Sus scrofa: one gene and its partner. The protein of the gene in region 2 interacts with the protein of the main gene of each other region in a pairwise test. Links are inferred from orthologs where the notes say so. Each region holds a gene or a part of one and is shown on either strand. Other genes may lie near its edges.

Region 1 (4,448 bases), on a different chromosome or scaffold from region 2:
TGGTGTAGGTTGCAGACGTGGCTCAGATCCTGTGTTGCTGTGGCTCTGGTGTAGGCTGGAGGCTTCAGCTCCGATTGGACCCCTAGCCTGGAAACCTCCATATGCTGAGGGTGAGGCCCTAAAAAGACAAAAGACAGACAGACAAGCAAACCCTCTTCTGTGCTGCAGGCCAAAAGAGGCACAGGAGATGGGGTGGCAAAGCCTCTGTCTCACAAGTGTATGATCTGGTGCGGGAGGCAGATGGTAAAAACAAAGACACATATATGAACGCAGGGTCAGGGGCTGACAAGCGCTACAGAGAAATAAAAACAGGACACACGGACGCGGGGGAAGCGAGGACGCTGCCGCCGAGAGGGGAGGCCTCTCACGACTCAGCGACACAGATCAGACCTGAGTGTGCCTGCAGGAGGACATTCCAGCAGAGGGGACAGCAAGGCCCTGAGACAGCCAGCAGGACAATGTAGGCGGGGCAGCCACAGGCCAAGTCCCATCCAGCCGCCGGTTATGACGGGGCTCTAGATTCTTACCCCGAGACGGGAAGCCAGGGAAGGGTTGTGGGGAGCGAGGGATGTGATTTGATTTACATTTAAAGGATTGCTCTGCTGCTCTGTGGAAGACAGGGGGCAAGAGCAGAGCAGAGACCACTCAGAAGGCTATGCATTCATCTTTTGACCCCAGGCGAGTCCAGGAGGCATCGCGGGCCTTAGACAGTGAAAACCAGACAGGTGAAGGGAGAGGCTAAATAAAGGACCGCTCTACTGTGTCCCTAGAGAAGACTCACATGTAAAGATGCTTTTGTCCTTCGTGAATTTATCCTGAGCTCACATGCGATGGCGCTTCCTACAGGCCAGGCTCTGTTTTAAGCATCAGAGAGCCACCTTCTTAGGTGGGTACTATTTCATCCCGCTCTAAATCTGAGGAAATGGAGGCGTGGGTGATGCAGGCAATTCGGTGCAGAGTTGGGATTTAAACCCAGCGCTCTGGCTACAGGTGTTCCTCCCCCGGCCCACAGAGCAGGCCTTGGAATGTCTTGGCCACTTCTCTGCGAAACGCTCCTGCCTGTTCCGGAGAAGCCCGGGAGCCCTTCCTGAGCAGCCTGCAGGGTGGAGGCCTGAGGAAACGGGAGAAGGAGGGAGCGGGTCCTGGAAGGGAAGGAGCATGGGGGTCCCGGGCCCACCCAACCGACAGCAGGGCCCGCCCTCCGCACCCGGGGCTGACCCCAGACCCACACGAGGTCCCGACACAACGTCCTCGCCCCCCAACAGAGGGGACTTTACCAGAGGCTTTGTCACTTCAGGAATGCTTGTGCAGGGAGACTAGGAGGCAGGGAGACTAGGGGGAAGGACCCCACCCAGGGCTGTCTTCTTCAGCAGGGGTCACATCACCCATCACAGCCACCCAAGAGCTCTGCATGCCGGGGGTGGGGGGTGCTCTGAGAGGCTCCTCCGAGCTCCTTGGCTCGGGGCTCAGGAGTGCTGACAACCTGAGGAGCAGGTCTGAGAGTCTGACCTGCCCACGAGAGTCTCAGTGCAAACGAGGTCCCGGAAGCTTCCAGATGAGACTCTAAAAGAATGGCTACAGGAGTTCCCTGGTGGCTCAGCAGGTTAAGGATCCAGCATTGTCGCTGCTGTGGCGCAGGTTCGATCCCTAGCCTGGGTGCTTCCATGTGCCTCGGGTATACAATAAATAAATAAATTAAAAAAAAACAAAAGGACTGCTAGGAACCCCACGCTCTTGACCGTGTCCTCCCGGTGGGGCTTCAGGGACCCTCCCCTAGAGCAGGACATCCCAACCGCTGGAGCCTCTGGAAAGTGGGACGTTAGTCGTGACCTCTCGAGGGTGCTGTGTTCCCTAAGAAATTAAGAGCCTGACAGACGTCATCAGAACACATGGCAGGGCCACCAAAACCTGAAGGTGCTACTACACGGACACCTCCTGTGCCCCAGGCGCAAACACCCAGAGCCCTCAGTGCGCCCGCCGGGTGTATCTCGGCAGGACGGAGGAGAGGCAAGGGACCGGGTCCAGTGGCCCGTGTGTGCCCTGGGCTGCAGCCACACTCAGCCCAAACCTCCCTCCCGCAGCAAAGTCCCAAAGAAACACGCCCCGTCGGCAAGTAAGGCCACTGGCCTGTATCAGGTAAGGACAGAAAGAAGGCCTGGGCCTGACGGGAAAGACTTCCAACGACAGCCTTGGTCTAACCAGTATGGGCTTCAGTTGCCCCATCCAGGAGTTCCTCCGCCCAAACAGCCCGCTGGCGGGCCTTTCCAATCAGCAATTGGCTGGATCTTCTCCAGCGAATGTTCCTAAGTGGCCATGGCAAACATGAAGCCAGACAGTTGTGACGGATAAAAAACAATACGGCATAAAGAACAGTCTTCAGGTGATTAGGTGAATCAGTACAGAACTGCCTCCTGCCTTCCAAACATACTGAAGACCAGCTGGGGACGGGGGCGGACACCGGCGTTGGGTGGCCAAGTCTGGGAGTTTCAGCTTGAGCATCATAAGGTATGATGTGCTCTGAGCACGTCTACAATAAAAATCTCACGGCACTGAAACTGCCTCACAGCCAGGATCCAAACTGCGACACGGTTAGACCTGTGCACAAATATACATGCATTTATATAACACGGGAGCATGTGCAGGCTCAACAGACACCTAGGCTCACACCGGACGTCAAAGAGGCCAAGTCTGAGCTATTAGAAGAGAGATGGCAGCGGTTCCCTGGTGGCCTAGCAGGGTAAGGATCCAGCATTGTCACTGCTGTGGCTTGGGTGACGTGGGTTCAGTCCCTGGCCTAGGGACTTCCACATGCTGCAGGTGTGGCCAAAAAGAGAGAGAGAGAGAGATGGCACACAGAGTAAAAGAAATCCAACAGGGGGCTCCTCTCTGCACCCGAAAGAGAAGTCCAGCGAGAGGACGCGGTCTCTCGGTCTGACCTACCGGCGAGGATGCCGTCCATCTGCTCCAGGGCGGCTTCCAGCACGTGACTCGCATCAGACGCCATGAGGCCGTCTCGCTGCTCGGTCTCCTGTCTCCTACTGGAAACGCAAACACACAACAAAGGGACAGTTACAGAGAGTTCCCCATCGCTACCCAAGTCCGCAAACCCTCATTCCGCCAGCACACGGCGCGCTCCCACTGGCATCCCGAAGCCCGCGTGGGGTTTCTGCGGGTCTACAGCCACTCCCTCCTGGCACGAGTGAGCCCCTTCACTTCGGTCATGAAAAGCCACTAGGGCTCTCCAGTCACCTGCAGCAGCAAGAGAGCGACGGCTACCCTCCTATCCCAGGCTCCAGAAGCTCCGGCCGCCCCTGGCGAAGGCTGAGGCTCCCCTAGGATGGGGGATGCACACGGCCAGCAGGAGCTCCATCCAGGCGTGCCCTGCAGCTGGGCCACAGCAGGCAGTAGCTGTCTTCTGCCCTTGAGCCACACCTGCAATGCTCCTGGGGCAGCCGTGGTCAGGCTGAGCCAGCTTGACTGCCACTTTCATTGCCAAGGGGGCTGATGGCCCGTCCAGGAGGGCGTGGGGGCACTGTCGTGGGGAGAGGACCCCCCCAGGAGCCAGGAGCACTGTCCAGAGCCATTTCAGTTCCACTCCACCCAGTGCCATTCAAGATACAGAGTCCCATCTTCTCGGGGCTGCAGAATTTCTCCAGGAAGACACCGCCTAGCCCCACCCTGATGCCAAGCCGCCCCCAGGGAGAGGCAGTGCCTGGTTCCCTCTCAGAAGGGTCTTTTAAGCTCAACCGTCTTCTTGCAGCCTGTTTCCTGACTTCCTGCCTGCTCCCCCCAGCAGAGACTTCCAACAGCATCTGTGATAAGAGACGTAGCTCAGGTCTGTGGCTGGAGGCAGGTGCCGCTGTTTGCTGGTTCAGCAAAGCCCCTGTGAATGCCCAGTGGGCCTACGTGCTGCGGAGGACAGAGGCGGGGCTCCCAGACCCCAGGGTGACAGGTCGGGGCACAGGAGGTTCTGCTGCTCATTTTCCCCATGAACTTTCACCTTCAGAGCGGAGAGAGGAGCGTGAGCGCCCACAGGAAAGTGGCCTTGGAGACGCATGGCTAAGGGTGTCGGGGCCACGGAGAACCGACCACACTGGACGGTGCCAGGCAGGAGTGGGTAAATGCCCTGGGGTCCAAGCCATCTCTGGCATTTACTGTGTCATCCTGAGCCCCAGTCCCCCCTGTAAAGTGGGGACAGTAACAGCACCTCACTCACAGGTCCTGTCATGATTCAGTAGGTGACTAGGAAAATGCATGTCGTGAAGTTCCTGTTGTGGCGGCAGAAACTACTGACGAGTATCCATGAGGCTGTGGTGTGGGTTCGATCCCTGGCCCCACTCCGTGGGTGAAGGGCCTGGCGTTGCCGTGGCTGTGGTGTAGGCTGGCAACTATAGCTCCCCCAACCTGGGAACTTCCACGTGCCATAGGCACAGCCATAGAAAAGAAAA
Region 2 (2,865 bases):
TGCACAGCACTGTGCTAACATTTTAAAAGTCGAGCACTAATGTCTTTATCAAGCATTACCTTAGTGTGAGGTAAAAATATATTAAATTAGCATAACTCATTAGTTCGCTTGTGGTAATGTATGTAAATCCTGTGCCAGCTGGCTTCCCTGTGCCATATAATGAGCTTCTGCACACCCCTCATTCACTCACACAAACATCTGTACGCTGACTGTGCCAGGCACTGTGCTAGTCGCTGGGATACCATGATTTGGCCTATGTTCAAAGAAGGCAAATTAATCTTAACCTATGCAAAACAATTGGAAAGATACATTACTTTTCCAAAATGAGGCCAAAAGCAAAAACATGTTTCTATTGGTCATATCACACTATAGATAGTAACTGCCTCCGGACTGCGAACTAACTTTGAAAGATTCAAACTGTAATCTAAATAGCCTAGATCATTTTTGGTCTCAGAAGTCTATTCTTTGGAGCGCCTAACCCCATATAAACGAATCATTCCACACTTAAAAGGTTTTGTAAACTAAACTTGAACACAAAGAAAAAGAGCCCAAAATGAAGGCAGTTTATAATGTAATGTACTTTAAGCACTATTCTGGCCATATGAAATGAATAATACGTAAGTAATTTGTGATTGGTTCAAACATTTTTCAAAGCACTAACCCTATCCCCAAACTCACGTAATTTTAATTTGACTTTTATACAAGTTGTACATAAAGCAAAAGGGCAGAATTTGGCCCCCCAACCTTCTATGGAATATTCTTAAGTGATTGGTCCTTCCACTCCAAGTAGAAGCTAAGAATTCCAAAGAGACCCCTAAGAGGATACTGGCACTCGGGAGAAACGGCCCTGCTGGATCCCACTAGCCGCGAGTCTATTTAGCTGTGGTAGCAATGTGAACCTACTTTGACCCCTTGAGGGAAGGCGGAGAGCTGGGAGTCTGGCTGTCCATGCAGTGAATCCAATACTGGCTTAAAGCTATGCACTGAATAAAGTGCTCTGCACATCCTGCTTATCATCTGGAATGAAAATAAACACTTATCTTGAGAAATAACCTATCTGTAGGTTTTGGGGAAAAGAATGACCAGGCTTGAAAGAATCCCAAGAAAAAGTATGAAGCATTGACTGGGAAGGAAGACAAATGCCTCTAGTAGTGTCCTCAGAATTCTCAGGATTTGAACTGTCAGAATGAGTCATACAATGGTCATGTTCTATAAATGAAAAAGCAATCCCACTGGGTACTATTCACACGGTGCATGATTACTTCACGGGGGTGGAAGGGAACAGTCTATTGCCATTTGATAGCATGGTTTCAGAATGAAAATAAAACCACTGACTAAATCAGGGTAAGCAGTATGCAACACTCCTCTCCTGTCCAGCAGTTTTCCACAGGTTGATTTGTTTCGCCTGAGAGAAAGGAGGCGAGCTACCTAGCCCTTCAGATATACTCAGGCAACGCTGCTACCACCTAAAATTGTCAATTCAGAAGTTAACACACAAGCCCTCCAGTTTCGTACCCTGAATATGGTAAATGAGACTAGGAATGGAGCAGTTCAATCTGAAAAAGATCACAGGTAACAGAATGCTTATAGAAACTAGACTGCTTTGACATCTGTAAGAAAACTGTATAGATGGCAATTGGAAAAAAAAAAAAAGATTGTTCCCATCTGTCAGCAAAACTGTTTGTTGAGCTATACTCAGCTGAAGTCCTCATCGGGATTCTGTTGATCCAGCAGACAGACATGTGTGAATGGGAAGTGACCTCGTTTGCCATTACACTCCCCTTCCCACTGACCACTCATATTAATCTTCGTAACCTTTACCAGCTCACCGACCTGCAGGAGGAGAATAAGGACAGCACTTTATTTCCAGTCATGAAAGCAAGCTGAAAAACGCCATTCTCAGTTTAGCCACACCCTGCCCATGTGATTGCTCTAGGGCTGATATTACAGAAATGACTATTCCCTGCCTCCCAAGCCCCAGCCACCAGACCAATTACTTGTGGTTAATGCAGGCAGGAGGAAGAAGTGATTTCAGCAATGCAGGAAAACAGAGTACAGAAAATAGAAGGGATCCTAGAAAATAATACCTTTGGAAATCTCAAGTGTCTCTAGAGGAGCAACCCTACCTAGAGCGATCCAGTGTTCCTTGTCTCTGAACCCACTACCCTTAGCTTCTTGCCTTAGCCTCCCCGGCCCTCCCCTCGCTTGCATATAACAGCACAATCCCCAGCCCACTCTTGTACACATATCCTGGTCTGCTGCTGCTGTTGGGAGAGCAGAAGGCGATCATGGGAAGCATACTTCATTTGGTCCCAGAAAATGAAGTGTTCCCATCACCTTCATTCCAAAGCAAGGCTTCTCCCAGTTGTGCAGGTATAGGCCAATCCTCCAAACTCCATCAGTACCCTGAGAGATCCCACCTCCTTCAGCAAGTTCTACTTGGCAGGCCACTGCCTGCTAGTGACCTCACCTGCACCATGGAAGCAACCATGTTGCTCCCTCACTGACACTTGGTACCTGTTCATTAACAATAAGGGGACATCATTTTGCTGTTACAAAAAGATTCCTGCTGCAACATCAAATATTTGTGACAACTGAAGATACACATCTATCTTACCACGAAATTGAAGACAAGATCAGTCTGATGAATGGATTCGCTATGGAGCAAAATATCTAACAATGGTGAGATAAGGCCTCAGATGTCACTAGACTAAGGAACTTTATGACTATCCTTTAATTAACAACATTTGAGCTCTGAGCATACAAGTAGTTTCAAAGCATTACTGTCCATTTGCTTTTATCAAGTTAATAACTACTATATATTTAATTTTCATAAAATACTATAAAGGGTATTTTGTATAAATT

The links.
Region 1: the proteins of CRK (region 2) and PPFIBP2 interact in binary tests that used the Homo sapiens proteins (3 or more experiments, as listed by UniProt). The link is inferred for Sus scrofa from reciprocal best matches to the Homo sapiens genes CRK and PPFIBP2.

The regions. Positions count from the first base shown.
Region 1 is NC_010451.4:2,104,703-2,109,150, forward strand, and holds the start of PPFIBP2 (liprin-beta-2), read right to left. Parts: upstream 3,039-4,448; 5' UTR 3,005-3,038; coding exon 2,941-3,004; intron 1-2,940. UniProt on the Homo sapiens protein: May regulate the disassembly of focal adhesions. Did not bind receptor-like tyrosine phosphatases type 2A.
Region 2 is NC_010454.4:47,658,656-47,661,520, forward strand, and holds part of CRK (adapter molecule crk), read right to left. Parts: intron 1,834-2,865; coding exon 1,696-1,833; 3' UTR 1-1,695. UniProt on the Homo sapiens protein: Involved in cell branching and adhesion mediated by BCAR1-CRK-RAPGEF1 signaling and activation of RAP1.